Linked DNA regions of Callithrix jacchus. The protein of the gene in region 1 interacts with the protein of each later gene in a biochemical or structural test. Links are inferred from orthologs where the notes say so. Each region holds a gene or a part of one and is shown in the gene's direction. Other genes may lie near its edges. The genes, in order: MAPK8, MAPK8IP3, DUSP10, H2AX, MAPT, STAT3 and NR4A1.

What was found.
Region 2: the proteins of MAPK8 (region 1) and MAPK8IP3 form a complex in vitro, tested with the Homo sapiens proteins (3 studies listed by BioGRID, with this or other methods). The link is inferred for Callithrix jacchus from reciprocal best matches to the Homo sapiens genes MAPK8 and MAPK8IP3.
Region 3: the proteins of MAPK8 (region 1) and DUSP10 form a complex in vitro, tested with the Homo sapiens proteins (2 studies listed by BioGRID, with this or other methods). The link is inferred for Callithrix jacchus from reciprocal best matches to the Homo sapiens genes MAPK8 and DUSP10.
Region 4: the proteins of MAPK8 (region 1) and H2AX form a complex in vitro, tested with the Homo sapiens proteins (2 studies listed by BioGRID, with this or other methods). The link is inferred for Callithrix jacchus from reciprocal best matches to the Homo sapiens genes MAPK8 and H2AX.
Region 5: of the proteins of MAPK8 (region 1) and MAPT, one has a biochemical effect on the other in vitro, tested with the Homo sapiens proteins (2 studies listed by BioGRID). The link is inferred for Callithrix jacchus from reciprocal best matches to the Homo sapiens genes MAPK8 and MAPT.
Region 6: of the proteins of MAPK8 (region 1) and STAT3, one has a biochemical effect on the other in vitro, tested with the Homo sapiens proteins (2 studies listed by BioGRID). The link is inferred for Callithrix jacchus from reciprocal best matches to the Homo sapiens genes MAPK8 and STAT3.
Region 7: of the proteins of MAPK8 (region 1) and NR4A1, one has a biochemical effect on the other in vitro, tested with the Homo sapiens proteins (2 studies listed by BioGRID). The link is inferred for Callithrix jacchus from reciprocal best matches to the Homo sapiens genes MAPK8 and NR4A1.

Annotation. Positions count from the first base shown.
Region 1 is NC_133513.1:40,582,637-40,586,834, reverse strand, and holds the start of MAPK8 (mitogen-activated protein kinase 8), read left to right. Parts: upstream 1-1,398; 5' UTR 1,399-1,550; intron 1,551-2,817; exon of another isoform or gene 2,818-3,011; intron 3,012-4,198. UniProt on the Homo sapiens protein: Serine/threonine-protein kinase involved in various processes such as cell proliferation, differentiation, migration, transformation and programmed cell death.
Region 2 is NC_133513.1:4,001,885-4,005,384, forward strand, and holds part of MAPK8IP3 (C-Jun-amino-terminal kinase-interacting protein 3), read left to right. Parts: intron 1-1,052; coding exon 1,053-1,155; intron 1,156-1,394; coding exon 1,395-1,513; intron 1,514-3,500.
Region 3 is NC_133520.1:6,887,552-6,891,051, forward strand, and holds part of DUSP10 (dual specificity protein phosphatase 10), read left to right. Parts: coding exon 1-132; intron 133-3,500. UniProt on the Homo sapiens protein: Protein phosphatase involved in the inactivation of MAP kinases. Has a specificity for the MAPK11/MAPK12/MAPK13/MAPK14 subfamily. It preferably dephosphorylates p38.
Region 4 is NC_133511.1:18,753,534-18,757,034, reverse strand, and holds H2AX (histone H2AX), read left to right. Parts: upstream 1-1,412; 5' UTR 1,413-1,488; coding exon 1,489-1,920; 3' UTR 1,921-3,001; downstream 3,002-3,501. UniProt on the Homo sapiens protein: Variant histone H2A which replaces conventional H2A in a subset of nucleosomes. Nucleosomes wrap and compact DNA into chromatin, limiting DNA accessibility to the cellular machineries which require DNA as a template.
Region 5 is NC_133506.1:86,728,000-86,731,499, forward strand, and holds part of MAPT (microtubule-associated protein tau), read left to right. Parts: intron 1-143; coding exon 144-199; intron 200-2,757; coding exon 2,758-2,955; intron 2,956-3,500. UniProt on the Homo sapiens protein: Promotes microtubule assembly and stability, and might be involved in the establishment and maintenance of neuronal polarity.
Region 6 is NC_133506.1:121,754,531-121,758,030, reverse strand, and holds part of STAT3 (signal transducer and activator of transcription 3), read left to right. Parts: intron 1-2,017; coding exon 2,018-2,101; intron 2,102-3,113; coding exon 3,114-3,212; intron 3,213-3,328; coding exon 3,329-3,464; intron 3,465-3,500. UniProt on the Homo sapiens protein: Signal transducer and transcription activator that mediates cellular responses to interleukins, KITLG/SCF, LEP and other growth factors. Once activated, recruits coactivators, such as NCOA1 or MED1, to the promoter region of the target gene.
Region 7 is NC_133510.1:67,441,060-67,445,073, reverse strand, and holds the start of NR4A1 (nuclear receptor subfamily 4immunitygroup A member 1), read left to right. Parts: upstream 1-1,214; 5' UTR 1,215-1,409; coding exon 1,410-1,503; intron 1,504-1,725; exon of another isoform or gene 1,726-1,948; intron 1,949-4,014. UniProt on the Homo sapiens protein: Orphan nuclear receptor. Binds the NGFI-B response element (NBRE) 5'-AAAGGTCA-3'. Binds 9-cis-retinoic acid outside of its ligand-binding (NR LBD) domain.

The DNA of each region.
Region 1 (4,198 bases):
TCATAATATTATGTATCCTTGACAATTTGTATTATAAGACAGTGATAATTTTGCATGTGTTTACTGCTATTACTTTGATAGCACAGTGATTAAATCTGTAAACTCTATTGTATTGCCTGGCACTGAATGGGCATGCAATAAATAATTATTGCAGGAATAAAGGATGGCAGGAAATTAAGAAGGTTGAAAAGGAGGGAGAGAGAAACTGGGATGAGAATTAATGAATAATCACCTGTATGTTCCTTTTCAGAATCACCAGAAACAGGCCAGCCCAACATACATATATATATAATATTTATAAAAATTATATTTATTATAAAAACAAATCATTATAGATATATTTATAAAAATATATAAATATGTAAATATTTATATATTTATTATTAAAGTAACTTACTTGTTTCCGATTGTGAACATAACTATTATTCTCGGAAAACATGAGAAAATACCCAAAGTGTGAAAGAGAACCAAGTCACCCTTTATTCCATAGTCCAATGATGAACGACTGTTAACATAATTTGGTGTATTTCTTTCCAGGTTTTTTCTATGTGTATATATAGTATCTAAGTGGGATCATTCTATATATAAGACCTGTTTTGTGCTTCTTTCTCTTAATGATATATTGTGAACATTTTTCTATGTTGTTAAGAATTCCTTGAACACATGGCCTTTAAATTGCTAAAATGTATTCTACCGAATTGATGTAGGTAATTTCCACCCGTTGTTGGATATTTAAAGGGCTCGTCAATTTATCGCTTCTGTAACATTTACACGCTTTGTGGTGCCTCAGAGGTAAGCCAGGTAATGCAAGGCATCTGGGAAGAGTTGGATTTGCAAGGAATCTCGGAGGACGTGGATTTTGGGAAAACAGGAGGCAGCTTTTCTAGGGCAGGTGAAGAGAACACTTATCTCTCTGTGGGTTGCTGGGACCCGGACAGGTGTCCTCGGAATGGAACTACTGTTGGTCAAGGTAAACAGCTTTTCATCGCTCAGATGTGTATGGAGTGGAAGAGTGCCTGTTCGCCGGGCATATTTGGCCTAAGCGCACCTGCCCTTCAACCCTGTGCCAGCGAGGCCCGAAGGCTTAAGCAAGGACCTGGCTACCGGTGCCAGCCAGACGCGGTCCCCTGGTGCCACGCGCCAACACGTGCCGCCTCAGGGCCCCGCCCCTCCCGCTCCTGGCCATGCCCCTCACCACCGCCCTCGGAGGCTCTCCCCGCGGCTCCGCCTCCAGGCCACCTCCGCAAGTCCCTCGGCCCACTGGAGTAGCCCCGCCCTCGGGCGGCGCCCCGCCCCCGCAATCCGGGCCCCGGGGCTGCCCCGCCCCGCAGGCCGCTCGGGAAGCGCGGGGGCAGGGCCCTGCGCGATGACGTAGGCGGGCGTGCGCGGTGACGGCCCGCGTCCCTGTTAGTCAGCGGAGCCGCTGAGGCCGGACGACGCGGCTCGGAAAGCTGAGCCGCGAGCTGCGCCGGGTAGCGGCCGCGGCGACCGCCCGGACGGCCCCTGTCTCCGCTGGCGGGCTTCCCTGTCGCCTTTCGCTGCGCTGCCGGGTGAGTGCGGCGGGAGCCGCAGGGCCAGGGCGGCCGGCGGCCCCGCCGTGTTTATGTTATTGTGCCGTCGCCGCCGCAGCCTTCTCAGCCGTGACCCCCTCCCGAGAGTGGGGACGAGAGCGCGCGGCGGGCGGGGGCGGTGCGGGAACAATAGCGGCGCGGAGGCGGGGGCCGGACGAGGGGGCGTGGGGCTGCGGGACCTGAGCGCGCTCCGCCGGCCGCCTGTCCGCCCGCCCGCCACCGTGAGCCCCGCCCGCCTGTCCTCTCGCGTCCTCCTTGCGCGGGTCCTGCCTCCGAGTCGGGAGGAGAAAATGGAGCGGGGGGTGGGTGGCAAGTTCTGAAACACTTCGGCGAGGGTCGGACGGAGGCATCTCCGCGGCCCGCCGCTCCCTGGCTGCCTCCCGGGCGGCGAGGAGCCGAGGAGAGCGCTCCTGCCGCCGGGTCCCCAAGCCTGCCCCGAGCCCATGGGGACCGTATTTTGCTTCTCGGTGGTTTCTTTGTGCTAACGTTCTGGGCGAACGCAGGCAGCAGCGCTGAAAAGGGCCGGGGTGGCCTTCAGCTCTGGGCTGCGAGGCAGAGCTCAGGCCGGTGGCTTGGGCGGGAGGTGTCCACCCAGCTCGGCCCGAGCTTCAGTGGTCAGCGCGCATTTCTCTTGGGGGTCACTCGGTGGTGACCTTTTGACTTTTTCACCCCGCCCTCCCATCTCTTTGTCTCACATTTGTGTTCCCAATTCAGAGATGGTAGAACCAAGGCCATTTTAAAGTACCCTGATGAACACTTCATTTTTATTCCCGAAAGTTCCTCGCCTGGTCTTTACTGCGAATTTAATAATATGTTGACTACATGGCATTGTCCAGTGATTACTATTTTTACCTCTGAAATTCAGTGATTTTTCCAGCAGAATTCTGGTCCGTCAGTCCATTGTGTTTTGAGATAAGCATCCAGCGAGTACCCTCTTGACAATTAGAAATCTGTTTTTTTCATTCATTCATTCATTCAGCAACTGTTTAGTAGCGTACCCAGATGAAGAGGTTTGATTTGAAGGTAAAGAGAAGTATCCTTTCATGGAAGAGGATGCTTTGAAGTACAATAGATGGACCTTTAAATGAGACAATTATGTAAGTCATGTCTGCTAAGGAAGGTATAGTTATATTCTGGGTCATTTTTTAAGCAGTATATCTGGAAGTACAAGTGTAATATTAGGAAGTAGACTTAGATTTGGTCTAAACATACAACAGCTTTTATTTCTAAACTTTATTTTTTCCAGTCTTGCAGCCTTACAGTCATTTGTAATGGTTACCTCAGATTCCCCTGCTGTGGTTAACGTTAAACCTAGGAGGTCAGATGCTCTAAGTGAACATGTTTAGTGCTGTGCCTGACAAAAGCAAGCAATCAAAATGGGACTTCCTTGAGGGCAGGCCTGTCTTGCATCTCTTTCTCCACCACCTAGCCTGGAATATAGTAAGTGTTCAATAAAAGTCGGATTGATGAAAAGCTCTTTATAATTGATAATATTTTAAATCAAACTTTAAAAAAATGGTCTCCATAAAGTTTTGGAAGCTTCATGCTACTGTTGCTTCAGATGGCTGAATGATCAGTTCATGTACATTATCTTTTACGATGACATGGGCTTTTGAATCACTTGTAGGTCATTAATTTTCCTAAAATAAAATCTTGTCTAAGTTTTTTTTATATGATTAATAAACTAAAGCAGGTTGTGGGGTGTGTGCGTGTATGTACTAGTGTATGTATGTCTGTGTGTGTATGTACGTAATCTACACACAGGCACACATAAACTGATATCTCAGTAGGGGTCTAAAATGATTGCAGTTATCATTTTGTGAATATTGTTTGAAAGGTTTTTGGTGACACTTATTTTGTGGAAAAGTAAGGGCAAAAGAAACCACATAAATGTTTTATTAGAAATATTTAATTTCTAATATTTTAGGAATGTTTACTTGAAATGTTTGATTTTAAGTTCTAACTTGTATTAATACTATTGGCACAAAATATGAGCCTAAAACTCAAAATAATGGATTTATCCAAGTTAAAGTTATTTTTCACTATTTAATACAGTGTAGCATTTGTTTTGGATTTGAAAGAATACGAAATGAGTGAACTAATTAATGAGCTTATTATTTGATGTAAAGTAGAAATGAAGAAATAAGAAAATGATACTATTTAAAGATAAGGGATGAAAATCCTTTAGATACCAAACTTTCATTGGTTTACCTAAAGTATGTCATATTCTAGTAGGGGGTTACTGACAAACCTTTGGCAGTAGCTCACAGTAAGGCTATGTAGAGAACCAGAGTTATGTTATTTTGTATTCCAAATTGTTGTTTTTTTAAAAATAGCTCTATTGTAATTTAATTGACATATCATAAAATTCACCCTTTAGAGTATATATATTTCATTGGTCTTTTGTATATTCACAAAGTTGTGCATTGATCACCACCACTAATTCCAGAACATCACCCAAAGAAGAGGCATTATACCCATTAGCAGTCACTCAGAATTCCAGTTCAAATTATGCTTTAAGAAATATAGCATCGATTCTGTTAGTAAATATATTCCTTTAATAAGTATGAAAAGGGCTCCTTTTAAGTGTCCTGGAAACTATATCCTTCATATTCCTTTAGATCCTG
Region 2 (3,500 bases), about 37 Mb from region 1:
ACGGGGCTGTGTAACAGACACACCAGGCGTGCAGTGCAGGCAGCAGAGACCATTCCTCATGTCCTAGAGGCTGGGGTCCAAGATCAAGGTTCAGGCAGGGCCATTCCTCCTGTAGCCACTCCTCGGCTTGTAGACACCCCCTTCTCCCTGCGTCCTCAGCAATCATGCCCTCTTCCTATGAGGACACGAGCCCACCGGATTAGAGCCACCACATGAATACATTTTACCATAATCATGTCTCTGAAGGCCCAGCCTCCAAATATAGTCATGTTGCGGGGTGTCTCTTTACACACGGATTTGGGGAGGCACAACTGAGACAGTAGCCCACATCACCCACGGCACAGCCCCACTGAGACGGTAGCCCGCGTCACCCACGGCACAGCCCCACTGAGACGGTAGCCCACGTCACCCACGGCACAGCCCCACTGAGACGGTAGCCCGCGTCACCCACGGCACAGCCCCACTGAGACGGTAGCCCGCGTCACCCACGGCACAGCCCCACTGAGACGGTAGCCCGCGTCACCCACGGCACAGCCCCACTGAGACGGTAGCCCGCGTCACCCACGGCACAGCCCCACTGAGACGGTAGCCCGCGTCACCCACGGCACAGCCCCACTGAGACGGTAGCCCGCGTCACCCACGGCACAGCCCCACTGAGACGGTAGCCCGCGTCACCCACGGCACAGCCCCACTGAGACGGTAGCCCGCGTCACCCACGGCACAGCCCGGTGAGAAGAGAAGGGTGAGGGCCTAAAGGAGGTCCGGCCACTGGCTTTCCTGGATGTGGGATCTTTGCAGACTGGGCTTGCTGCCAACAGTCCCATGCAGAGAGGCTGCTGCAACCCACCCCTCTCCGATCCTTCACCTCAGACACCCACTGTGCAGGAGTTCACCCTCTGCCCAGACAGCTTGGGATTAGCCATTTTCTGATCATCCCCACCTGGCGGGTAGTCCAGCTCTGACTCCACACTCAGGTTCTGAGGGCAGCAGTGAGCAGGGCGGAGGCTGCCAGGCCCTCTCCTGACCGCAGGTCCCACTGTGCTCTCCCCTAGGCATGGGCAGCAGTGACGAGTGGTCTGATGTTCAGGACATTATTGACTCCACTCCAGAGCTGGACATGTGTCCGGAGACCCGCCTGGACCGCACAGGAAGCAGGTACTGGCTCAGCCCAGCCCTGGGGTCCTAGGGGCTCAGTACTTATCTAAGTCAGTGACTTAGGTGAAGGCGCCCTCTGCCATCACGGCTGTCAGGCCTACCACCCCGTCCACTCCCGGCCTGCACTGCAGTGTGAGCGTTGACTGGCTGTGGTGGGGATGTCGGAAGAGCCTGCATATGTAGCCGCTCTGGGCTGCCCACCGACTCTGCTCTCTCTCCCCACCTGTGTGTCCCAACAGCCCAACCCAGGGCATCGTGAACAAAGCTTTTGGCATCAACACCGACTCCCTGTACCACGAGCTGTCGACGGCAGGGTCTGAGGTCATCGGGGACGTGGATGAAGGGGCTGACCTCCTAGGTAAGCGCAAGCCTTCCCCCACGTGCGTGGCCAACGTTGGGGCTTTCTGCTGTCAGTTTTGTTTGTAATGAAAGTCCTCTCTTGGCCGCGCGGTGGCTCACACCTGTAATCCCAGCACTTTGGGAGGCCAAGGTGGGTGGATCACAAGGTCAAGAGATGGAGACCATCCTGGCCAACATGCTGAAACCTCGTCCCTACTAAAAAATTACAAAAATTAGCTGGGTGTGGTGGTGAACACCTGTAGTCCCAGCTACTCGGGAGGCTGAGGCAGAAGAATTGCTTGAACCCAAGAGGCAGAGGTTGCAGTCAGCCAAGATCGTGCCACCGCACTGCAGCCTGGTGCCTGTCGACAGAGCAAGACTCTGTCTCAAAAAAAAAAGAAAGTCCTCTGTCAGCCGTGAACTAGGAACCTTTATTTTTCCAGCTTTATGTATTTATTTTTTTATTTTGAGACAGAGACTTGCACTGTTGCCAGGCTGGAGTGCAGTGGTGGGATCTCAGCTCTCTGCAACCTCTGCCTCCCAGGTTCAAGTGATCCTTCTGCCTCAGCTTCCCAAGTAGCTGGGATTACAGGCGTGGGCCACCATGCCCTGCTAGTTTCTGTATTTTTGGTAGAGAAAGGGTTATACCATGTTGGCCAGGCTGGTCTCGAACTCCTGACCTCAGAGGATCTGCCTGCCTCAAGCTTCCAAAGTGCTGAGATTACAGGCTTGAGCCACCGGGCCCGGCCTACTGAGTTCTATTTCATATGTAATCATCCCTCCATCTCCATGGGGGACTGGTTTCTGGACTGCCCCAAGGATACCCAACTCTGAGGCTTCTCAAATCCCAGCTCTGAAGTGGTGTAGTGTTTGCGAAGAACCCATGTCCACCCTGCACACCCTCCTGTGTCCTCCACGGGTTAATTGCGTCTGGGTTTAGCTGTAGGTGCTACAGAAGTAGCTGCTGTTTTACTGTGTCGTTTGGGGAATACGGACAGGAAAAATGTATACACGTCAGTACAGACACGGCCACCATGGGCCTGGCTGGATCCACAGATGCAGAACTCATGGATGTCGTGGGTTGACTGTACCATCACATTCGCCACCTTGAAGGGCATGGTTCTGTGGTGTTTGGCATACGCACAGGCGGTGCCGCCGCCCACACCACCTTAGTTTAGAATGTTCCGCCATCCCAAAAAGAAACCCGTGCCTGGTAGCCTCGCCATGTCTCATGCACACACCATCAGGGCTGTTGACTTTCGAGGAGGTTGGGAGGGTGCCCGCTTGCCCAATCCTCCCCAGACGGCCCTGGCTTTGCCTCTGCGCTGCAGGTCCACGCCAGACCCTCTGTGCCTCTGTCTGCAGCAGCTGCGAACAGCAGGGCCTGCTTCCTGCCAGCACATGGAGCGCCCTGTGCTCACAGCATCTGCTGGTAGCCGAGTGCTGGCCATGTGGCTCGGATCCCCAGGCCAGGGCCTTCAGGCATGGCAGGCAGGCAGTAGGACAGTCTAGTCTGTGCCCTTGTATGCGTCAGGGTCCAAGCCTTTCGCCATGGCCTTGCTCCCCACAGCCCACGGGGCGAGAAGCTCCAGGATCCCAGGCTGCCTCCTGGTGTACTCCTGGCTGATTGTCTTATCTGGGGCAGGGGGACCTCCAGGGTGCAGAGTCATGTGGGGCCTCAGGCCTGACAGGAAGACCTGTCTCAGCCTGGGTGGAGTCAGAAAGTGCCCCGATAGAGGTCACCTATAAATAACATCCTATTTTCCGTCTTAACCGTGTTGAAGTGTTCAGCTTAGTGGTGTTGGGGACACTCTAGTTGATGGTGAAAGATGGAACGTTCTCCCCTACGATCAGGAAGAAGGCGAGGGGCCTGCTTTGGTGCTGTGAATTTTCAGTGAAACTTTCCTCGTGTGTGGCAAATATATATATAAAAAATCCAAAGGCGATTAATACTCAGAAACGTTCCGCCACATCATTCAGATAATGTGTACTTCTCAACTTTGTTT
Region 3 (3,500 bases), on another chromosome or scaffold:
GGATCTTTTCCAAAGAAATTATAGTCTATGATGAGAATACCAATGAGCCGAGCCGAGTGATGCCCTCCCAGCCACTTCACATAGTCCTCGAGTCCCTGAAGAGAGAAGGCAAAGAACCTCTGGTGTTGAAAGGTAATGCCCCTGTTCCCTTCCCAAGCACGGTCCTGATTAGTTGGGTTCACTTTGGGTTTTCTCACAGAAGTGACAGCATTCTCCTTACCCTGGCTACCAAAGACCAAAATAGACTTTATTCTTGTCTTCCCTGCTATGCTCTTTATTATATTGGTTTAGTAAGAAAAACTCAGCAGCGCTGAACTGGAAGCCAGAAGATCTGGGTTCTACCCTTAATTCGGCTTCTAATTCTCATTGTGCAAGTCATTTCACCTCTCTGGGACTGTTTTCTCATCTTTCTAAAGGGGGCTTGATCCCACCGGATGATATCTCAAGTCATGCCTGGTCTGCTAGCTCTATTCCAATCAATCACTAGTTGGAAAGTTATTGTCTCTCAGACTTAACCACAGTTGATGGAGCAGAGGAAGGAACAACTATGGTGAACTACAAGTAAACCTACAGGTACCAGTTCTTTTTGTGGGAAACTCTTCTTCTTTCTCACCTTTCTGACCAGCTTGACTTTTATGTGGTTTATAAAGTGACCTTGAAGAAGGGCAGAGCTTATTCTAAGGCCCCATAAAAAGTGTAAGTTCACCAACTACATCCATTCCTCTGCCAAGTCTCCAAGGGAACAGAGACATTTCTATGAAATGCTCCCTGACCCATTGTTCTTTCTGGCCTCACCTGACAACGGTTGGCATCATGGCTCCTCCCAAGATGGAGTAATGTGTCATGTGCCCCAGTATACTGAATGCAGAATAACTCTGAGATTAGCGGAACAGAGCTCCAGCAGAAGGAATTACTCACCCACTCTTCTTGGAGCACCATCCATAGAGTGTTGCCTTAACTTTCAAAGTAGCCTGCATCCTGTGCCCAGCCTAATTGCTCCTCTTTGCCCTCAGATACAGTCCTTTGGGGCACTGCACATCACTTTCATTTGGCATCTTTTACCTGGGGATGGTAGTGAGAGATAGTCATCTTCTTTCTTGTCTCATTTTGTGTTTTGAGCCAAGGTACACATTTTCTGGGTTACATCTCCAACCAGCCTCCTAAAGTGTGTTGACCAAGGGTGTTGCTGAGTTTGAACACATTGCATATTTAAATTGCAATAGGCCATATGGGTGAGCAAGCTAGTTATTTTGTCTCTATGGGACAGCTCTGCCATTCTCCTTCTTGTCTTCCCAGTGAGGCATTCTGACTTTTGTTAAGCAGCATTCTGGGAAATATAGTTCTGAATTCCACTGACACAATCTCCTCTTCCCACCATCCACTCCCCTCAAGCTAGCCCTCATGCAGCTCCACTACCACAAAGGCACATTTCTCCTTAGGTCTGGCGGGCTTTGCTGGGAAGGAGAACATCATGGAATTGTATGCAGAGAGTTCCAGAAGTGCCTAGGCATTTCCTGGTATTGGTGGTGGTGGTGGGTTTTCTTGGGGTCACAGATATGTTCAGATTTCTTCTGTGTAGCTCTGTATTTTGTTTCTGTATTCTTGTTTGACTTTGAGTGATTCCCTAACCCTGCTATTGTCTAGCCTAATGAGAAAGTCCCACCTAGAAATTTCCCATTTTTAATAGTTTGTCTTGGGGAGCAAAGAGGAGGATAGCCAATGATCTTGATAATCTCCTTTTTTCTCATACAGAACAGAGATTCAAGATAAAAAGCAAGGCTTTTGTGTCCCCATGATCTGTGGAGAGGAAAAAACCCAGGTCAAGATGCCCCTAGACCTGAACATGGGGGTGACTAGGAGCAGTCGCAGACCCTACTGTCTAATTTGCAGAGAGTGGAGTTGTGTATAGGGGTGACCCGTCAGTCACTGAGAAGTGAATTTCCTGGGTGCAACTGGTGAAAGTGGGGTGCCGCTCTCCCTTTGCTCTGGATGCAGCTGAGAATTCAGACAGCCTGGGCTTGTTCCTCAATGTCAGAGAGTAAGACTGCCTCAGTGGGGCGGGGCCGGACACACTGCTGACCTCACCACTGGGTGCCCTGGGCAGCCACCGCGAGGCCTCGTCATTTTCAAGTTGGTGAGACACGGCGGCGGTCGACTTGGAAGACGCTCTGGTGGTAGAGGTTAGATTATTTGTAGCTTTTGGGGCCTTTTCTTCAAATATCTGGGAATTTTGGTTGAAAATATGTAGTTCAGGAGTGAAAGGATCTGTAATCTACTTTATAATTGTCATTGTCATTTTGGTATTTTTGGGAGAATGGCCTAAAATTGGGACCAAGATGGAAAAGAAGGGAAAGGAATGGGTCAATATTAGAATATTCTTCATTATCCTTTCAACTTGGTAAATCAGAGATGAATACCAGAGCTCCATTGTGATGAAGGACGGGGTGGGCACTCCCCAAAGGCGTGACCAGCAGACTTCTCCTAGGTTCTTGAGTGGATCAAGCAGATCATTCTGGTCTGGCTTCTCCTCTCAGATTTATTTGAGTAATCCTCTTCCTTGGTGATAAGATTGTATTTCAGCAAGAGTGGTAGTGGTACCATTTTGGAATGAGTAATTTTTGCAGGGAAGTTGGTTTGGGGGGCATGGTTAGAACATAAGGAGGAAACTCTTAAGGGCTTGTTAATTTATTTTCAGAGATTTCAGTACAATCTTGGGTAATTTACGGCTGCCCCATCTGATGCTATGGTTTATGTTTGTAAACACTGGTTGCTACCCTCCCTATCCAAGCTTCTTGTCCCTTTGTCTCCATGCCATGCTCTCCATTTTTGGTGCTGTCTGTCGAGTAGAGCGGCTGCTAACTTGCCATTTTAGTAATGCTGTGTCAGGTTGGGAAGAAACCGATCAGAGGCATGGCAGCCCCTGGGATTAAGTTACTGTTCTAATTTACAGTGCCCTCCCTATTGTGACCTATGTTAGAATCTGCATTTTAATCTCATCTTCTGAAGAATAACCTGTGCTTCTCTTTAACTTGGTGAAAATGATCCAAATGAATAAGTATTTAGGGATTATGAGGTCTTTGAAAGAATTATAATCTGTTTTACACAAAGTTGATTTTTAATCAACTAAAACTTTGTTTCTAGTCAAACTGAATAAGAAAGCTGAGCAATTCTAGACCATTCATAATGAGAGCTACCGTTTTTGCTATGAAGTTCTTGGGGCTTCTTTTCTTTTCAGCAAAGCTGGGTCCAGGGAAATAATTAATCATTTACCTGGGTAGGAAAAGATAGTCTACTGTCCCCTCTTCGTAAAGATAGTATATGCCTTTAAAAATGTTATGAGCATCTTCAAGCATATAGAAAAGCAGAAAAGTGTGTAATCAACACCCATATCCCTATCAACCAGATTAAACAATTATATTTTTCCTATTTGCTTTATCCTTTCTGTTGAAATATTTAAAAATATACTATAGATAACATTTTAATGTATTTAAGTATGTTTA
Region 4 (3,501 bases), on another chromosome or scaffold:
GGGCATTTTTGGGTAGATTGAGAGGGTTGGTGAGAGTACTTCCACCAACAGGATGCCTATCTCTCTCCCTTGCATAATCTGATACGGTGGTTCTGATAGCAGTAAGCAGCAGAGCCAGAAACAGATCTGAGGTTGACTCCACTTCAGTGCTCTTCCTATTAATTAGCCATGGAGGAGGGTTCAAATAGTGGCCTCCTCTCTCCTTTCTTCTAGCAAGAAATGAACAGAACTGAGACCAAACAGAACATGTTGAATAAATATTGAAATCCTGGCTAGGCATGGTGGCTCACGCCTGTAATCCCAGCACTTTGGGAGGCTGAGGCAGATGGATCACGACGTCAGGAGTTTGAGACCAGCCTGGCCAATATGGTGAAACCCTGTCTCTACGAAAAATACAAAAATTAGCCCAATGTGGGGGTGTGTGCCTGCAGTCCCAACTACTCTGGAGGCTGAGGCAGGAGAATTGCTTGAACCTGGGAGGCAGATGTTACAGTGAGCCAAGATGTGCCACTGACTCCAGCCTGGGCAACAGAGCCAGACTCTGTCTCAAAAACAAAATAAAAGAACTCCTGATACTTCAGGAGGGCCAAAAGATTAAAGTTACCCTGTTTCGTGGAATGGGATCACACTTTCAGAGTCACTGGGTGTGGTGGCTCACACCTGTAATCCCAACACTAGCAGGCAGAGGCAAGAGGATTGCTTAAGCCCCAATTCAAGACAGCCTGGGCAACAAAACGAGACTCTGTCTCTACAAAAATAAAATAATTAGCCAAGTATGGTGGGGCGCGATTGGAGTACCAGCTACTAGGGAGGTTGACCAGGGAAGATCCCTTGAGCCCAGGAGTTCGAGGCTGCAGTGAGCCGAGATCACACCACTGCCCTCCCGCCTGGGTGACAGAGCGAGACCCGGTCTATTTAAAAAAAAAGAAAGAAAGAAAAGAACGTTAAGGGTCTAATTTCCCTTTCTCCCTTTGCCAGGTAGGAGAAGGGTATAGAGAGTGACCTGGCCTGGAAAGGGAGGCAGCGGTAGCTGTAGTATTGACCCCTGTCCTTTAAAATTCCTATTCCAGCACAATTTCCCAGAAGTTTTCTAGGTGGCCTCAGACTCCACCCCTTCTGTCTTCAGCTTCTGGTTTCCGACTGTACCGTTTAAATCTCGCGCGCTTTACAATGATTGGCTACGTTCGCGGGTGGTTGGCCGTCTGCCCGCTACCCCTCCTTTTCGCCTTTTCTCCCCGGGCAAAAGGTTTTCAAATTTAACCAATCGACGGGCGCGCTACCTCAGCAGAGGCGCGACACCCAAGGGTTAATCGCAACCAATCGGAGGAGGGTACTGGAGAAAAGGGCCAATCAGGAGGGTGCGGAGGTGTGTCCTGGGGGCCTATAAAAACGGCCTCTCGGCGCGCGCGCGCGACAGCAGTTGGACTGCGGAGAGTGTTTGTCCTGGTGTCTCTGAGCCGTTGAGCTTCGCCGGTCTACCTCGCTAGCATGTCGGGCCGCGGCAAGACTGGCGGCAAGGCCCGCGCCAAAGCCAAGTCGCGCTCGTCGCGCGCCGGCCTCCAGTTCCCCGTGGGCCGCGTACACCGGCTGCTGCGGAAGGGCCACTACGCCGAGCGCGTTGGCGCCGGCGCTCCAGTGTACCTGGCGGCAGTGCTGGAGTACCTCACCGCTGAGATCCTGGAGCTGGCGGGCAATGCGGCCCGCGACAACAAGAAGACGCGGATCATCCCCCGCCACCTGCAGCTGGCCATTCGCAACGACGAGGAGCTCAACAAACTGCTGGGCGGCGTAACTATCGCCCAGGGAGGCGTTCTGCCCAACATCCAGGCCGTGCTGCTGCCCAAGAAGACCAGCGCCACCGTGGGGCCGAAGGCGCCCTCAGGCGGCAAGAAGGCCACCCAGGCCTCCCAGGAGTACTAAGAGGGCCCGCGTCGCGGCCGGCCGCCAGGCCTCCCCATGCCACCACAAAGGCCCTTTTAAGGGCCACCACCGCCCTCACGGAAAGAGCTGAGCCACTTCAGACTGCGGAGCAAGCGGGCCGCGGCTCCCGCCTCCCTGCCCCTCCCCTCGCCCACCGCCCGTCCTGGAGTCCCCGTCCGCCCCCACTCGTGGCCCGCGCCCCCTGCCGCGTCGGCCTCGGGCCCTGCCACGTCCGCCGGCCGCTCTCCGGCAGGGCTCGAGCGGTCCGGAAACGGCTAGGGCGCTCTGCGGGGACCGCCGTGGCGCGGAGGACCCGAGCCTGCCGGGGGGAGACCGGCGACGCCGCACCTGCCCGCCTCGGCGCTCGTGACTCAGCCGCCCGATCCTGAGTCGCCGAGGGGCTGCGGGGAGGCCGCAGCACCTTCTGGAAGACTTGGCCTTCCGCTCTGACGCAGGGCCGAGGTGGGCAGCCCAGGCCCAGAGGCCGGCGGCCCTGAAGGTGAGTCCGTCCCTCGGCAGCTGCAGCCGGGGCGTCTGGTCCTCCCCCGTCGTGGTGCTTAGCCCAGGACTTTGAGACGTGGCCGCTGGCCTGGAGGCTTTGGTGGGAGAGATGGGCTCGCTGATATCCGTCTGGCGCCCCCTCTGCGGCCAGGACTCAGGCCTTTCACGTCAGCTCTCCATCTTCATTCATAGGTCTGCGCTGGGGCCGGGACGAAACACCTGGTAACAGGCACATCTTCCTCCCGAGTGACTGCCTCCTAGGAGGACATTTGGGGGAGGGTGGAGGCCTGCAGTTTGGCTTCACGGCTGGCTATGTGGACAGCGAGAGTCGTTTTCGCGGAAGCCAACTGGCAGCCAGGCCTGTCGGGCCTCCCCACGCTGCCCCATGTCCCTTCCAGCAAACTCGACTCGGCAATCCAAGCACCTAGATACCAGCACAAGTCGGTTAATCCCTGTCTGGACTGAGCCTCTGTTGGCTTTCGAACTGGAATTTTGCAGCTAACCCTTCCAACACTAGAACCTGAGGCATTGGGGAGTTTTAGATGGACTAATTTTATTAAAGGATTGTTTCTTTTTTAAATGGAGCGTTTGTATTCATTCTGCAAGAGGGTTGTAGAATTAGTGACTTTGTACACCTTCCCGAGACAGTGGGGGTGGGAAGGGTATGCAATATAAATAGGCTCTACTGTTATAGAGAAGGGACAAACCATAGCAATTTAAGATTATGGCTGTTTCTCAGTGTTTCTGGGAGACAATTTATTCTGTGTGAAATGAAAACTATTTAGGCAGAAGCAGAAAGGATGTTCCAGGAGAACTTTGGGCAAAAGTCCCAGCCTCAGAAGTAAGGATGAAAGGGCTTTGTTCATATCTTCCTGCCCACCCCACGAAAGAAAAACAACAAAAAGCACCTTCAGAGCGGTTTATTAGTAGAACTGGTTACATTCAAAGGCTGTGGCTTGGATTTCTCTAAAGAGATGAAGCCCTCACATACTGAGGAGGCAAGGCAGTCATCAGGGGCTCATAGTGAGGCAAATCCCTGGAAGGCTTGGACCCTGCTGTTCAGTCTCCTGGGGTAATTGC
Region 5 (3,500 bases), on another chromosome or scaffold:
AAAGAGAACCACCTGGGCTTCCACCAGACCCAACTAAACAGAACGTGGACCTACCCGGAGAAATCCAACTTCACCACAGCTGGCTCTTTCTGTGAACAGTGAAAATGGAGTGTGACAGGCATTCTCCTTTTCTATTTTATTAGCTCGCATGGTCAGTAAAAGCAAAGACGGGACTGGAGGCGATGACAAAAAAGCCAAGGTAAGCTGATGACACCACGGAGCTCTGCAGCTGGTCATGTTTACAGAGAAGCTGTGCTTTATGTGCAAGCTCATTCTCATGTATAATGTGGGGAGCATTTGTCACTAAAGTACAGCTGTCATTTAAAGTGCTTTGTATTTTTGTGCAGGCTTTTAAACAGTTCAGCATTTATTCGTTCTGATGCCTACCCCAGGGAAGAGCAGTTGGCAGGTTCATGATGTCATGCTCCTGATTGCAGCTTCCTTAGCATAGTTTCAGTGAGACCCTGATAAATGAAGGTGTGTTTGAAAACCAACCCCAGGACAGTGAGTGTAGGTGTGTTTGAAAACCAACCCCAGGACAGTGAATGAAGGTGTGTGTGAAAAGCATCCCCAGGACAGTGAATGAAGGTGTGTTTGAAAACCAACCCCAGGACAGTGAATGAAGGTGTGTGTGAAAAGCATCCCCAGGACAGTGAATGAAGCCATCCACTCACTGCATAAACTGCACCCAGATCTTTGCCTGTCCTCAGCATTGCACTTCGCCCATCACTTACTCTCTCAATGACTTGGTGTCTGGGGAAATGCTCCCGTAATTGCACAGCAGCATTTTTCCTGGAAAATCCCACCATGACGCTAGATAAGACCTATTTTTCTTAAAGGTATCTAAAATTTCCAACATAAATTCTGTCTGAAACACCTGGATTTTAATCAGTACTGGAGCCCCTAGGGCATCTCCAGTTGCCGTGTAGCTCTGGGCATTCGGTGGTGTGTTGGTGTGTTGGGGCTGCTTCCGGAAGTACCTGCAGAGTTGGGGCTCCGCATCCTTACCTAGTGAGGCAGCAAAGGGCCCTGTGGGAATTTGGAGAACTGCCCTGGATCTCTGAAGTGATAGTGACAGCTGCTGTCAATCCTGGTGCATGTTTAGTACTGGGACCAGGGGGCAGGGAATACCAGCCTCATGCATGCTTTCATTCATTCATTCATTCATTCAGTACACATGGGTACAGCATCCCTGTCCTGGAGTTGCTCAGAGTCTAGGGAGGGAAAGGTCTATGATGGACCTTGGACAGTTGGGCAGTGAGGGAATGAGTGGTTGTCAGTACCCCCACCCCAGATTTGCCTTCTTGTCATCAGCCCTGGGGCCCCAGCCTGTGTCCCTCCTCTCCCATTTCTGCCCCATCTCATGGATTCTCCTCCTCACCAAGCCTGGCCACACAGAGGGCCTCTGCCACTTCACTGGGGAACTGGAAAGTGTTAAGATAACACGCCTAAGAAGCCCAGTGAAATCTGGGTCAGGACCCTTCTCTGAGCTCTGAGTCACTCTCAGAAACACCTCGAGGCTTAGCCTCCCCACTTTATTTTCTGAGAGTGTGACCTTTTCAACTCCCAACACCCCCTTCTCCTCCAGGGCCATGCCCACCTGTCAAAATCCCGCTGGGGCAGGACAGACTGTGGCCATCAGTCACCATCTCTCCTGCATCCCGGCTCCAAAGGCCCCTCCTCCACAGGGATAGGCATGCAGACACCCACCCATCCCTGGTGCTTCTTCATGTGGAACAAGTTCAAGAGTTAGCATTGTTTACACTGACAAACTGAAAAAAAGAAAAGGAGTTAAGACTGCAGGCTTGGCACAGTGGCTCATGTAATCCCAGGCATGAGGCACTGTGGGAGGCTAAGGTGGGAGGATCTCCCGAGCCCAAGAGTTGTAAACCAGCCAGGGCAACATAGCAAGACCCCATCTCTTAAAAAATATTTTTTTAATTGGCCAGGCAGAGGTGGGAGGATCACTTGAGCCCAAATGGTAGAGGCTGCAGTGACCCATGATGGCACCACTGCACTCCAGCCAGAGCGACAGACGGAGACCGTCTCTAAAACAAACCAACTGAAAAAAGAGTTAATATTGGCCAGATTAGGATTCACCTGACAGTGTTAATATTAGTTTAATTTGAGACTTTAGTCAGAAAGCACATGTGGTGGGGGTGGGTGTACCCTAAGTGATGTCAGATAGAATCTTTCCAACTTGGGGCAAGTATACTCCTGATTGTAGCTGTATGAGTCTGTCAGTGTGGTGGAAGAACCCATGGGTTAATGGGCAGACAAAAAAGCGCCTTGCCTGGAATTGAGTAGAAAGTGGGACGCTTCGGACCTATGACACACTTGGGGGCATTTTCTTGAGTAACATCCTGAGATTCATGCACCTTGATGCTCTCCATCAGCTTATTCATGTGAAGCACCTTTAAACCAGTGGTCTCCAAATTCAGGGGCACAATAACATCTAACGGGCTGGAGAAAGAACATACTAGAATTTCCATTCATTTTTCGTGTCCTCTTCTGAAAGCTCTGTCAGATGCGAGTTGAGTAAGTCGGTCATATAGAACTATGATTGGGGAGGATGATCCCTTTCCTGTTCTTACTAATCAGAAGGGATGTTAAGGATACATGATGTAAACAGCCTGGAGATCACTGCTTTCAACCATTACCTGCCTTATTTATTTTTAGTTACTGTCCTTTTTTCAGTTTGTTTCCCTCCTCCATGTGCTGACTTTTATTTTGATTTTATTTATGTTTATGTTTAAGACATCCACACGTTCCTCTGCTAAAACCTTGAAAGCTAGGCCTTGCCTTAGCCCCAAACACCCCACTCCTGGTAGCTCAGACCCTCTGATCCAACCCTCCAGCCCTGCCGTGTGCCCAGAGCCACCTTCCTCTCCTAAATGCGTCTCTTCTGTCACTCCCCGAACTGGCAGTTCTGGAGCAAAGGAGATGAGATTCAAGGTAAGGAAACCACCTTTGAAAAGAACCAGGTTGCTCTGCCATGGTTTGCAAATGTGGGTTTTTTGTTTGTTTGTTTGTTTTGGTTTTTTTTTTTTAGCCTCAAAGATCTTTCTTCAAATGAGCTCTACATAGAAGCACCATGTGGAATAGTTAGAGTTCTGGACAAAGGGGAAAAGAGAGCTCAAGGCCATACCTCTCAGCACCCCGCAGGCCCTCATAACAGCAGCCCCTAAGACACTTAGCAGGACCTTGGTTTCAAAATCACTACTCTAAAGCTGGGCACAGTCGCTCACGCCTGTAATCCTAGTTCCTTGGGAGGCCAAGGCAGGTGGATCACCTGAAGTCAGAAGTTTGAGACCAGCCTGGCCAACATGGTGAAACCTTGTCTCTACTAAAAATACAAAAATTAACTAGGCATGGTGGTGCACACCTGTAATCCCAGCTACTCGGGAGGTGGAGGCACAAGTATCGCTTGAACCCAGCAAGACCCTGTCTCAAAAATCAAAATCAAAATTGCTACTGTCATTGGGTTCCTTTGCCCCTTC
Region 6 (3,500 bases), on another chromosome or scaffold:
TTGCACCTGGGAGGTGGAGGTTGCGGTGACCCAAGATTTTGCCACTGTGCTCTAGCCTGGGCAACAGTGAAACTCTGTCTCAAAAATAAGTAAATAAAATGAAACATAGCAGTCTTTTTAAAAAATGCAGAATTTTACTTGACAGTAGAGTGAAGTAGCCTGTATGCAATGACATGGGAAAATGTACATGACATATTTAGAAAAGCAAAATGTAAAATAATTTGAATAGTAATACTGTATGTGTTTTAAAAATACTCTACTCTCTTATGTGCATTCATATTTATAGTAAGAAATTCTGGAGAAATATACACCCAGCAGTGCTATGTATTAGTGCTGCCATCAGTATCCATGGCTATTCTAAACTGTCTCTGTGATACTTGCATTTTAAACTGAATATATGACTTTTATTATCAGAAAAGGTATTAAAAATCAATTAGAATTCAATTTCTTTCTTTCTTTTTTTTTTTTTTTTTTTGAGACAGAGTCTTGCTCTCACTCAGGCTGGAATGCAGTGGTGTGATCTTGACTCACTGCAACCTCTGCCTCCCGGGTTCAAGTGATTCTCCTACCTCAGCCTCCCGAGTAGCTGGGACTGCAGGCACACGCTACCAGGCCCAGCTGATTTTTGTATTTTTAGTAGAAACGGGGTTTCACCATATTGGTCAGGCTGGTCTTGAACTCCTGAACTCATGATCTGCCCACCTTGGCCTCCCAAAGTGCCAGGATTACAGGCATGAGCCACTGCATCTGGCCCAGAATTCAATTTCTGAGAATTCATTGGTAACTGTTACTTAAAATAAGGTTGCTATACTGATGTAAGACATTGTTACAGTCACTTTGGCGCAGTATAAATTGTTATAGTCAATTAGGCAGTATAAAAATGAACATACCCTGTAAACCAACAGTGCCATTTCAGGATTCAACAACAGAGAAATCTTTGCATATATGTACCAGGAAACATGTATAAAGTGCAGAGCAGCCTGATTATAAGCTCTAAAGCAACCCAAATAAATATCCATCAATATTAGAATGAATAAATATGTGATTTGTGGTTTAGACATACAATGGAATACTACACAGCTGTGAAAAGGAATACATTGCAGATACACATAACCATGTGCATTCATTTTACATTGAGTGAAAAGTGAATCACAAAAGAATACATTGGATCCATATGTGTAAGGTTCACTAAACAATGCCCATATTAATTAGAGAAACAAATATGATAAAACTGTAAAAAAAAAAAGACTAGGAAATGATAAACTCAGAAGACAAAATAGTTATTTTTGAGGGAGGAGGGAAGGGGATGGGGTTTGGGAAGGGCATCTAGAGAATTTGAGGAGTGATGGCCTTTTCCTTAGATTGAATGGTGGGTCCACATTGTTTTGTTATTTTTGTGCCTTACATAATTTACGAATAACCAATGTAGTATTATAATACTATGTAGTATTATAATACAAACTGAGGAAAGCATTAGGTTGAGGATCATAGCATTGGAGGTTCTTCATGTTGAAGAGAGTAAGCAAGTTGTGTCCCTGGAAGTTTGTGGCCACCTGGTGGCTTACCCTTCTTGGTGTGGTGAGGCTTGGCATGTCACTTTCCTTGGCTGTGGCTGCCAGTACTGAATGCCATTCTCTCTGAGGAAAGGCATCCTTCTCTTTTTAAATTTTTATTTATTTATTTTTGAGATGGAGTTTCACTCTTGTTGCCCAGGCTGGAGTACAGTGGTGCAATCTTGGCTCACCACAACCTCCGCCTCCTGGGTTCAAGTGATTTTCCCGCCTCAGCCTCCTGAGTAGCTGGGATTACAGGCACGTGCCACCACCCCCAGCTAACACTTGTATTTTTTACAGAGATGGAGTTTTGCTGTGCTACTTATTTTGTATTTTGTGCAGAGATGGAGTTTTGCTCGAACTCCTGGACTCAAGCAGTCCTCCTGCTTTGGCCTCCCGAAGTGCTGGGATTACAAGCATGAGCCACCACACCTGGCCTAAGAGTATCCTTCTTGTTACTGTAGGCTTCCCTGATTGTGACTGAGGAGCTGCACCTGATCACCTTTGAGACAGAGGTGTATCACCAAGGCCTCAAGATTGACCTAGAGGTGAGTTCTGCGGTAGAATTGGTGAGAGGCTACATGCAGGGGTGACTCAGGACAAAAACTTCCAGCGGGATTTTTACAAGACAAGGTGGAATGATTGCTGTTTGCTTAACACTGCTTATTTTTGCTTACTTTTCTTCAAAAAAATCCTTGGCATCCCATCTGAGAATGAAGTCTTGCTTGAGTGCTCAGAAGATGTGTGTATACTCGGTTGATATATTTAGAAATTGACTGGCCAGGCACAGTGGCTCATGCCTGTAATCCCAGCTCTTTGGGAGGCCGAGGCTGATGGGTCACAAGGTCAGGAGTTCAAGACTAGTCTGGCCATCATGGCAAAACCCTGTCTACTAAAAATACAAAAATTAGCTGAGCGTTGTGGCAGGCGCCTGTAATCCCAGCTACTCAGGAGGCTGAGGCAGGAGAGTCACTTGAACCTGGGAGGCCGAGATCATACCATTGTACTCCAGCCTGGGCAACAAGCAAGACTGTCTCAAAAAAAAAAAAAAAAAAAGAAAAGAAAGAAATTGATTAGAGCTAACTTTATAAAGTTTGGGCACAGTGGGTTTAGTATACAGAAAATTGTGGCAATGACATTCTCTTTTCCCAACTTTCTTGACTTTTAAATTGAGATATACCTAGACAATCAGGAATCCTGGTCTTTGATTCCTCAGACCTCTCTGTTTCATGTGAAGATACAGCTTCAAGTCTTGGAGAATGCCTTCAGGGTCTGAAAAATGGGGCAATCTGTAGACTGTGAGTCAAGCTGTGAGCAAGTCAGGTTTTACAAGGGACTGGTATGTTCTGACAGCAGCCCGAGCCCTGTGGCCATGCTGGGCATTCTTTCCACTCTGATTGCTGACTCAGCTGACTCAGTCACACTCCTTGCCTAGAGTTGGCAGCAGGTGTGGCTTATGGCATGTCCTTTCATTCTGAGCCCCGTGAGATGCGGGTGAAGAGATTTCCGAGGCTATGCGAGCCCCTCTGCCTCCCTGCTCAGTTCCCACTTCCTCCACAGACCCACTCCTTGCCAGTTGTGGTGATCTCCAACATCTGTCAGATGCCAAATGCCTGGGCATCCATCCTTTGGTACAACATGCTGACCAACAACCCCAAGGTTAGTGTCCCCTCCTTTTAGTTGGTGCCCCAGGATCTTCTGCAACTTATGGGTACCTAGTATAAACAACGAGCACCATCGCTCATCTAAATGAGTAAATGTGTTCTTTCCAATAGAACGTGAACTTTTTTACCAAGCCCCCAATTGGAACGTGGGATCAAGTGGCTGAGGTCCTGAGCTGGCAATTTTCCTCCACCACCAAGCGAGGACTGAGCATCGAGCAGCTGACTACACTGGCAGAGAAACTCTTGGGTTCGCATTTTCACCCCTCCTCCCTCCACCTGCCCA
Region 7 (4,014 bases), on another chromosome or scaffold:
CACCCAGTCAGCCCCAACCCCATTGCTCCAACCTTGGCCCGCCTGGCCTTCCTGACCAGCCACTCCTGAGTGGGCAGCTGCTGGGGGAGAAGGATTTGCTAAGGAGAGGATGGTTCCCCCCAATCCCACCCAGTCAGCCCCAACCCCATTGCTCCAACCTTGGCCTGCCTGGCCTTCCTGACCAGCCACTCCTGAGTGGGCAGCTGCTGGGGGAGAAAGATTTGCTCAGGACAGGATGGTTCTCCCATTTCCAAAGACGGCTCCAGTCACGTCGGAGACAGGAACATTCCAAGTGCCTGCAGCCCCAGGAAGATTCTTACCGTGGAAGCCTGGGCCTGGAGACTCTGGTTAGGCGAGGGTGGGCCTCCCAGGGCTTCCTGGCCACGGCGGTGGGCCACTGAGAGCATTAAGCACTCTTGTGGACTGGGGAGAGCAGGGAGGAGAACCAGCTCCGAGGGTATACTGTGTACAAGGCACCTCTGCAGCTGTTATTGTCCTGACAACCAGAAAGGGTGGATAATCGGACATATCATCTTCATTTTAGAGCTGAGGAAGCTGAGGCTCCGAGAGGTCAAGCGACTGCCCTAGGCCACACAGTGGCATGGGAGCAGCCAGATCAGTGAATCCATCACCTGGGCTTTGCCGCGGCCTGCTCCCGCTCCTCGGGAAGTGCCCTCTTCAGGAGAAATCTCACCCTCTGAGGAAGTCGTTTTTTTCTATAAGCTGCCTTCTCGTGTGGAAGCTGGGTGCCCTGCTACCTGGGATTTTTTGTTCTTGGGGTGGCATGAAGGCCAAGCGATGCAGGCAAGGCGCCCGCAGACTCAAAGGCCAGGCCCTGTCTTCGCGAGCAGACGAATTGCTGTGTGACTGTGGGCCGCCACCGAGCCTCTCTGAGCCTCGCTCTTTCCACTTCTTCCTGGGGAAGCCCCAGGTAAGTTTATTTATAACCTAGCCCCGGGTGCGCCGCCTCGGGAGGTGTGAGTGAGGCCTCGGTTCCCTCACCTGAGAACCAGCTCCCCGGCTCCGGCCGCAGGAGGCGGGTTATGTAACCGGGTGTGCGGCGTGGGGGGAGCCGCGGGGCGGGGCGCTCGCGGCTATTCCGGGCGCCGCTATTTTTAGCCCCATTGATGAGGCTGCGTCGGCCGCCGCCGCCGGGATTCCGGAGACGTCAATGGGCGCGCGTCACGGTCCCCGCCCCTCCCGCCGGGGGAGGTGCGCCGGGGCTGGGGCAGAGCGCGGGCGGCCGCGGGCGCGGGGGCGGGGAGCGCGGTGCTGCCGGAACTGCGGGCGGGGGGCTACCCGGGGGCGGGGGGCGCCGAGCGGCGGCGCGGCTGCAGGAGCGCGAGGCGGCGGTGGCGGCGGAACTGGCGGGATCCCAGCGCGGCACCCTCGACCCCCGGCCTGCCGGCATGGGCGCCCCTGCGGCGCGGAGCAGCTTCGGGACTGCTGGGGCGCGACCCCGGAAAGCGGGGGTGGAGAGGCGAGCGGAGCCCGCAGGGTCAGGTGAGGGGCCGTCGGGGTGGCTGGAGGTGGGCCCGGGAGAGGCCGGGCAGTCTCGGGGCCTTGGTGGATGCCTTGGGGCGGGCTCGGGGCCATGCCGGGAGTCCCGCTTGGAAACTAGGGGAGTCGGGGAGAGGGACTGGATTCCCAGCGGAACCTCCTGGCTCCGAGTCAGCCCCCAAGAGCGACCGCCAAGGCTTTCTCTCCCCAGCCCGCCAAGGGTGGGGTTTGGCCCACGAGGGGCGCTGGAGGTGGCCAGGCCAGAGAAATTCCTTCCATTTCCCCGCCGGCTGCGGGAACCGGTTCCAGGAGCGCGGGAGCTCGTCTGCCAGGAGACCCAGCCGAGAGGGACCGATGCTGCGCGATGCAGCCCCTTAGCGGGACTGAGTCGAGGAACCAAGGCTGGGGATCTCGTGGAGTCAGGCGGAGCTGGGGCTTAGGACTCGGGGTTCGTGTCTCCCAGGCGTGTTGTTGTTGTTGTTGTTTGCCGCAACATCTTCCCTCCTTACATTGGGTGGGGTGGGGGCGGGTATTTCCAGACCTTCTTACCCTGGTGGTCTGTGTTGAGGGCCCGGGGCACAGTTCCTTGACTTCTCTCATTCCCTTTTTATGTCTTCATTTTTGATAGATGACCTGGTGGACTCGAGAAATGCTGCAGAGGTGGTTTTCAGTGAATTGTGAATTTGGGTATAGGGCTATATTAGGGGCACATTGGGAAAACGCAGGCTGGGCAGAGGTCGTTAGGTTCCCTACAGTTATGCCCAATGGGTGCTGATGGATTTGGGGGCTGCTGTCGGCCTGGTCTGGGGCCCTAGTGGTGGGGCTACAAGGCTTGCCCCTAGACCTACTCAAGTGAACGTTCTTATCAGTGACTTGGATGAAGACTTAAACAGGAAGTCAGCCAACTCCTTGTAGTCACCCAGAGCTGTGAGGAGTGACACTTACAGTGTGATAACATCAAGATTCTAATTGCAGGCGACTGGGCAGAAGGATGGGCTGAGATTAACAATGTGAATGTGACTGACATCCCGGTTGAGGCCCGTGCTGGACTCAAGAAAATCAGCTGAGGAGTTCAGGCCCTGTGCCTGGCTCAAAGGCCCTTAGCTTCTGACCTGCTCTCTGGACAGAGGCTGTGGGACTGCTCTGTGCAGTGTGTACCCTCCATCCACTACACAGGTCCAAGCGGGTGGCAAGGGGGAGGAAGGATGCTTGATTTGGACTCCTTGGTTGGGCTCCCTGGGTTCTAAACCCAGTTTTGCCAATTCCTAGCTGTGTGACCTTGGACAAGTTGCTTAACATTATAATCCCTTCCTCATAGCATTGGGAGGCTGAAATGAAACAATGTGTCTAAAGTGCTTAACAGTGTATCTGGCACATGTTGTCAGATACACTGTTAAGTGTATTAACTGCTGTTTATTATTATATATATATAATATATATATTTTTATATATTATATTATATTTATACTTATATATATAAGTATATTAGCTGCTGTTGTTATTGCTAATAATAGTAATATGCCCATTTCTGGGTGGGGACATTGGCCAATGCAGAGCTTGTACTCAGGAGGCCACCAGGGCCTGTCAGGCAGAGGGCCTGTCAGTGGTATCCTGTTGCAACAGGCAGTTTAGTTAGGAAATGGCTAAAGTACTCGTTAGGAAGGACTAGAATGAGGCTTCCCACTGGCCAGTACAGGGGGCAAAGCTGGGATCCAGGGCTGGGGAATTTTAGAATCTGGGTTGTGATTCAACATAAGGAAGAAGGCTCTGGCGCTTGGATCTGCCCCCAAAAGGAAGGGATAGCTCTTGAGCTGGAAGGCTCTTCCCTTCTGAGCACCTGCCAGTGCTGAGCAGGGTTTAGAGACTGCAGACTCCGCAGTGATTGAGGGGGACAGCATCCTTAGATTCTGGTTGGTTAGAAAGGTGATAAACCAGTGAACAGATGTGAACACAAGACCTATGGTGAATAAAATTAGGCTAGTGTGGTGGGGTGGGGATGTAGGCCCTTTAGGGAGATGACATGGGAAATGAAACCTGATTGATAAGGAAGAGCCAGTTCTGGGCAGAGGGAATGGCCAGTGCAGAGACCCTGAGTGGGGAGAGAAGGCCCACATGACTGGAGCACAGTGAATGGCTGGGAAATGAAATTGGTGGGGAGCAGTAGCTAAGGACTAAAGTCTGGCCTGATGCTCCACCCCATTTTGGGGGTCACTTGTCCTCCTTTTTTTTTTTTTTTTTTGAGACAAGTCTCACTCTGTTACCCAGGCTGGAGTGCAGTGGTGGGATCTTGGCTCACCACAATCTCCGCATCCTGGGTTCAAGTGATTCTTCTGACTCAGCCTCCCAAGTATCTGGGACTACAGGCGTGTGCCGCCATGCCCGGCTGGTTTTTGTGTTTTTAGTAGAGAAAGGGTTTCACTATGTTGGCCAAGCTGGTCTCAAATTCCTGACCTTGTGATGCGCCTGCCTTGGCCTCCCAAAGCGTGAGCCACCTCGACCAGCCACTTTCGCCTC